Linked DNA regions of Sus scrofa. The protein of the gene in region 2 interacts with the protein of the main gene of each other region in a pairwise test. Links are inferred from orthologs where the notes say so. Each region holds a gene or a part of one and is shown on either strand. Other genes may lie near its edges.

Region 1 (3,500 bases), on a different chromosome or scaffold from region 2:
GAAGAAATTGGAATGGAACAAGAGAAACAAGTTGGTAAAAGCCTACTTCCCAGGAATAATACAGGAAGAGTATCACTCACTTCTGTGATCATAGGAGACCTCGTGCCAAGAAGGAGACCTGTCACTTTATCATAGTTATATAAAATCTTCAGTTTGGGAGTTCCTGTTGTAGCTCAGCAGAAACAAATCTGACTAGTATCCATGAGGACACAGGTTCAATCCCTGGCCTCTCTTGGTGGGTTAAGGATCTGGTGTTGCCATGAGCTATGGTGTAGGTCACAGACGTAGCTCAGATCTGGCATTGCTCTGGCTGTGGTGTAGGCCGGCAGCTACAGCTCCATTTTGACCCCTAGGCCTGGGAACCTCCATGTGCCCCAGGTTTGGCTCTAAAAGGGTAATAAAAAAAAAAAAAATCTTCAGTTTGTAAGTTGTCTCCAAGAATCCTATCCTGACTCAGTCTACCCTGCTTGATCACTCTTCCCCTGACTCCCTTATGTCTTTGTGGGGCTATAGTTAGAGAAGCCAGAAAAAAGAGAAGGCAGAGGATTTAGACAAGAGAGTGAGCACTGCAGGTGAGGTTGCTGTAATGAGTAAGAAAGAAACTCAGGAGTTACCATAGTGGCACAGCGAAAGCGAATCCAACTAGAACCATGAGGTTGCGGGTTCAATCCCTGACCCCTCTCAGTGGGTTAAGGATCCGGCATTGTTGTGAGATTGCAGATGTGGCTCAGATCTGGCATGGCTATGGCTGTGGTGTATGTCGGCAGCTATAGCTCCAATTAGGCCCCTAGCCTGGGAACCTCCATGTGTCGCAGGTGCGGCCCTAAAAAACAAAAGAAAAAGAAACATCAGACCTGGAGGAGGACTTAAGACAGTGCGAATATTTTCAACCTTTATTAGAGTCCTGAACAAGAATCAGAAGGAAAGTAGCTGATGATGAAGGACAGGTGAAAGATAGTAGTAGGCACTTAATGAGTGTTGGTTCTGGAGCTGTGTAGCATAGATGCTCCGAAACCAGAAAGAGAGGGACCGGATCATGAGCAGAGGGTTGGTTTCTGGTGAGGCCATTAACTCCTTGGAAACTTGAGAAAAGAGGAAGGAAACAGCAGAGGATAAGCATTCTCCATATTGACATTTGTTCATCTTAGGGAAACAGGGAGCGTAATCTCAGTTAAATGAGACATGCTTGAAGCTTAAGAAGAGAAGTGAAATCCTCCATAAAGTTGCTGAGGTCTGAGGAGAAGGCATCCCAGAAGAGGTAACATTTGAAACGAGACCTGATGAGTAAGCAGGAATTTACTAGCTAAGGAGCATCGGAGAGAGACAGAAAAAAAATGCAAGTACCTGGAGAGGTTAGGAGAAGAACTAGGAGAGTCAGAGGAGCCACAGAAAAAGGTTTTGAAGAGTAAGTTCTTGCATGAAAAATTCTGGGTCCTCTTTGGAATGGGAAAAGAGGTTATGTTTGGAAATACCAAGAACTTGGGTAGCAGCTGTGAGAAGAGTGATGCAATGCCTGTTGTAGGGAACAGGGAAGAAAGGCACAAGAAGAAATGAGAAGGATTTTTGGGAACTATTAACTAGGGAGACCAACATTTTGAGCGACGCCAGCTTGCCTAGTCATGTGATTTCTCTGGCAGTACTCACTCCTGGTTGAGGAATAAAGAAGACCAAGGATGCTGTTGATTTGGTATTGAATTTTGCTGGTCCAGGGTGGTTGATGATCCTGGCAAGAGATGGACTAAAGTGATGGATCATGGGATCTAGATGGAATGGGAAGGAAGGTAAAAGTAGGAGGGAATGGAGGAGTCAGAGGAGATAGAACAGCTATTGTGGGACAGAGGTGTAAGGAGCCTAGAGTGAAAAGAAAGTGGGGCTAGAGTTCCCATCGTGGCTCAGTGGTTAGTGAGTCTGATTACGAACTATGAGGTTGCAGGTTCGATCCCTGGCCTTGCTCAGTGGGTTAAGGATCTGGTGTTACCATGAGCTGTGGATGCAGCTTGGATCCCGAGATGCTGTGGCTGTGGTGTAGACTGGCGGTTACAGTTCCGATTGGACCCCTAGCCTGGGAAACTCCATATGCCACAGGTGTGGCCCTAGAAAAGACAAAAAAAAAAAAAAAAAGACAGAAAAGAAATTGGGGCTAGAGAGTGAGTTTAGTTTTCCAGTAGTGGAGAGTTCAGTGTAGTGACAGGATTCAGGGACAGTCCTTGAAGTTGAAGATGTTTGAGAACTCTAAGATGGATATGTCGAATGGCTCATACATACAAACATTAAAGACACTCAGGATGATAAATTCTCTAAGCAAATAAGTATATGTAATGTAAATTATATTACAACATACTTTCCCCACTGTGTTCTCTCCTCATGTCTTCTAAAATTAGACCATTTACCAATAGCATACTAGTAAATGCAAATTTCTAAAATTAAAAAAGAAATTTGTGTAAAACAATACTTTTTTCATCTTAGTATCTTTGGCCAGCTTCCTTGTAAACCCCATAAAAATTGGTTCAAGGGCAGTAAGTTTGAGTTTCTGTTTTGTTTCTCTCCAGAGTGGTGCATCAACCAGATGAATGCAGAACTAGGAGAGGCTAAATCCGTCCATATTCAAAAATTCTGTGAGAGGTGAGGGGCTCAGTAAATAACCCATTTCCTTGTCCAAATCAGAACCAATTGATAGAGACACAGGAGTAAAACAGATGATTCTGGAAGCCTCAGTTTTATGACTTACACAAGCTAGACTGATAACTCAAAGGCATGGATGCATAGTGACAGCAGACCTTCCCTCCCCACCGACCCCACCCCCATAGGTTTTTCTGATCCATAGGTTTTTCTGATCCATAGGTTTTTCTGATCCATAGGTTTTTCTGTGGCAAAAAGGCAATGTCTGCAACTTGCTCTGAAAGAGGACAGCCCAGTCCCTTCTCCCAGATTCAGCAGTTAGTTAAGTGGGAAGTGGGGCAAGGTTAGAAATGTTCAGTCTGGCCAAAGTCCTCCCCATGGAACCATGAGAAGTAAGAAGTAAGTATTCCCCACAAAAGAATGCTTAGGTATGAGTGGATTTATCCTGTATCAGTGAAGAAGACTGAGAATTTTTATAGCATACCTTTTTTCTTTCCCAGAGATTGCACACCCCAGGCCCCTTGTGGAATTTCTGTCCCTGTTGAAAGGACAGTTGTGCGTTTGAACACTCTGAAGGACCGTCACCCAGGCGACTTGTGGGCTCGGATGCACGTCTCATCCTTGGAATATGCTGCAGGAGACATTACTCGAAAAGGGAGAAAAAAAGACAAAGCTCGAGTGAGTGAACTACTCCAAGGCCTCGCATTTTCTGGTGACTCAGATGTGGAAGAGGATAATGAGCCAGAAACCCAGCCTGCCTCCAAACGGCTAAAAGTGTCAAGTGTCCCAGAGAAGAACTGGACCAAAAGAGACATTAAACCCAACTTTCCAAGCTGGTCAGCCCTGGATTCTGGACTTTTGAATCTCAAGAGTGAAAAGTT
Region 2 (3,238 bases):
TTTTCTTACCTTAGTCTTTAATTCCTCAACATTAACATCATCATCAGCCTTTTTCTCTTCTCCCTGTTTCTTTGAAGACCCGCCCATTTCAGGCTAACATTTGCCTTACTCTGAGCCAGCACCCACCTGTAGACCAGATCTTTCCATTTTGCATGCAGTATTGCTTTTTTTTGCCGTCTGTTTCACATCCTTTCACTCTCCTGCCTAGTCCTCCTGATAACTTCTTCAAATCTAATTTTTTGGTTTGTTGTTTATCACTAAGGTTTTTTTCTGAATTTTTAGTTTTTGGGTTTTTTTCCCCCCAAATCCTATCTGGAGTCATTTTTTTTCCCCTAAGAAGCTTCTTTTGTAGAAATGATGCCTGGGTAGAATTCTTCACCTGTTCTAAATATTTAAACGAAAAATTGCCTTCCAGCTATAATATGCTTTAAGTACAGAAAAATTAAATAGAAAGGTCATAATTCGTCGAGGCTAGTCTTTCCCAATATCTTGGCAGTTAATGCCACATACTTATTTATTTTTGACACAACCCCATATATTCCTAAAACTGCTGGATTTCTTTTTCATAATTACATAAATTAAAATGAAATTTTGTTTGAGACTATTTGGGAATCATTCCCTGAGGAGACAATGCTAGCATGCCTCAGAGTGAGCTCTGAGTAGGCTCATCTCTGAGGGGCACAGTGCTTGGGAATCAGAACTTCTGAGGTGGGGCTGAAGTTTGCTGAGAATCTGCAGTTTTACATCTTCTATGGGACATTCTTCTGTGCAGTCTAGTTTAGGAATTGCTCTCCTTGGATGTTGGAGGTGGCATCTTCCTAGGTGGAAAACTTCTCCCCTGCCTGAACTTTAGAAAAATTCCCAGTTTCATTTATGGCTCATTTGGTGAAGAAGCCAACTAATATCCTCGAGGATGCAGGTTTGATCCCTGGCCTCACTCAGTGGATTAAGGATCCAGCGTTGCCTTGGCTGTGGTGTAGGCCGGCAGTTGCAGTTGTGGTTGTGATTTGATCCTTAGCCTGAGAATTTCCATATCTGCAGATGTGGCCATTTAAAATAATAGTAATAATAATTCCCACCTCTTTTTAAATAGCCTCGCTTTAGCTGTCTGGTCTCTACCACACTTGGGAGCTCAATTCTCTCTCTGAAGACCTCCATTCAAGGTCTTCAGACCTCACTAATTCCCTGTAACTCCTCATTGTCTCTCTCAGCCTTCTTTCCTGACTATCCCTTTCTCCCTCCCTCCCTTCCTCCCTTTCTTTTTTTTTGCCACCCTAAGCAGCATGCCGAAGTTCCTGGGCCCCTGATCATCCCTTTCCTAATCATTTATTATAGACTTGCTTACTGTTGACAACTTTTCTGAGCATTGCTGCTCACCCTTTAGTAACTGTTTATTCTTCAAAGCTTGAAGTTTCAGGAAAGTCATACCAGTGCCTGCCTACAGGTGGTGATGGTACCTCAGGGTGGTAATTTAGGCTGTTCTTTCACTGGACACAACTAGCTGAGGCTTAGAAGTAATAGTTCATCTTGAGTACATGACAAATACCAAATTTGGCAAGCTGCTTTTACAGGAAGACATTTGGTTATTAAAGGTGCATTGAATTTGTACCTGTCTTGTCCTGAATTAACATAGGATGCTCCCAGCTTACCTTCAGCTTCTTCTTGACAGGACCCTTCCTATATTCTCCTTTTAGTATAATCTTGGCTGTGAAGTGTTTTGTTTTGCTCATTTCAGAAATAATCACTTTATGACAGATTGGTTATTATTTACACCATTGTATTTTGATATAATTTCTCCATTTTTTTTAGAGCAAAAGAATATTAAAATGATTTCCTAATGGCCAGTTTTGTTTTTCTCCAGATCTGGCTGCATCACTTTGACTGTCTCTCCAACAGTCTTAGAATCTGCTGTTTTTCTGCCCTTTGGTTTCCGACTATCACTGTATAAATAACTTGCTTGTATTACCTCTTTTATTAGTACGTAACTTTTTATCCCCTCATATGTTATGTTCTCACTTCATTAAATTCTTTTTTGAGAGTAGGCAACCTTATCAGTTTTCGGAGTGCTGTTTCTAGACATATGCAAGCCATGTACTTCTAGTTCATTTTTTAAAAATTTTTCTTCAGGTTTCTTTGCTCCCAGAATAGGAAATGAGTGATATTTACATTTTCTGTTTATTTCAGATGATGATGCTAGGACTGAAAATGGAGCACTTGCTCCAAAGCAGGAGATTCCTTCAGCAGTAGAATCTCATGAAGCTCCTGGCACTCTCAATATAGGTGTTTCGCAGATTTTTAAGTATGGAGAAGCCTGTTTCCCCAAGGGCAGGTTTGAAAGAAAGAGAAATCCCTCCCGAAAGAAACAACATATATGTGATGAATGTGGAAAACACTTCAGTCAGGGCTCGGCCCTTATTCTTCATCAAAGAATCCACAGTGGGGAGAAACCCTATGGATGTGTTGAATGTGGGAAAGCATTCAGCAGGAGTTCCATCCTTGTGCAACACCAGAGAGTCCATACTGGAGAAAAACCTTACAAATGTCTTGAATGTGGAAAAGCTTTTAGCCAGAATTCTGGGCTTATTAATCATCAGAGAATCCATACTGGGGAGAAACCTTATGAATGCGTTCAGTGTGGGAAATCCTATAGTCAAAGCTCAAATCTTTTTAGACATCAGCGAAGACACAATGCAGAAAAACTTCTGAATGTTGTGAAAGTTTAAGAAGTTAAAAAAAAAGAAAATCAGCACTCAGGTCTTTTTCTTCTGAAATGAAGACAAAATTAAAAACATGAAATGATACCTAATAGTTTCCCTATAGACTGTTAGAAAATCCACTGGGAAATGTAGAAAATCTTCACCCACTCTTACTATTTTATCTTGAAAGAAATGGTGTCATACCTGCCTAGAAACTGAAATTTTAAACTTAATTCAGGTATTAATGCCTAAATCTTCCATGTGATGTTTATATTCTTATTATTTTTCCAAATGAACTACCTGATCCTTTGTCCCCTTCTTAAAAGATTCCTTCTTAGACAGATAAATTATTTCTGTATTGATCATTGAAATGTCTTTGCAAGGATACATTCCCTTCTGTGTTAAAAAGCAACATAGGAATTATAAAACCTGAACACTGAAACCTTTTTTCCAAATTTACCTTTGTTTCCTTTCACCTAATTTGAATATGCTTTTCAAAAATAGAAGATAAAGGATGACCAAAAACCTCAAAGTGAAATGAG

Evidence for each region.
Region 1: the proteins of ZNF24 (region 2) and PGBD1 interact in binary tests that used the Homo sapiens proteins (3 or more experiments, as listed by UniProt). The two-hybrid records come from large-scale screens. The link is inferred for Sus scrofa from reciprocal best matches to the Homo sapiens genes ZNF24 and PGBD1.

What each region holds. Positions count from the first base shown.
Region 1 is NC_010449.5:22,150,778-22,154,277, forward strand, and holds part of PGBD1 (piggyBac transposable element-derived protein 1), read left to right. Parts: intron 1-3,119; coding exon 3,120-3,500.
Region 2 is NC_010448.4:119,160,967-119,164,204, reverse strand, and holds the end of ZNF24 (zinc finger protein 24), read left to right. Parts: intron 1-1,861; coding exon of another isoform or gene 1,862-1,881; exon of another isoform or gene 1,882-2,172; intron 2,173-2,184; coding exon 2,185-2,723; 3' UTR 2,724-2,738; downstream 2,739-3,238. UniProt on the Homo sapiens protein: Transcription factor required for myelination of differentiated oligodendrocytes. Required for the conversion of oligodendrocytes from the premyelinating to the myelinating state.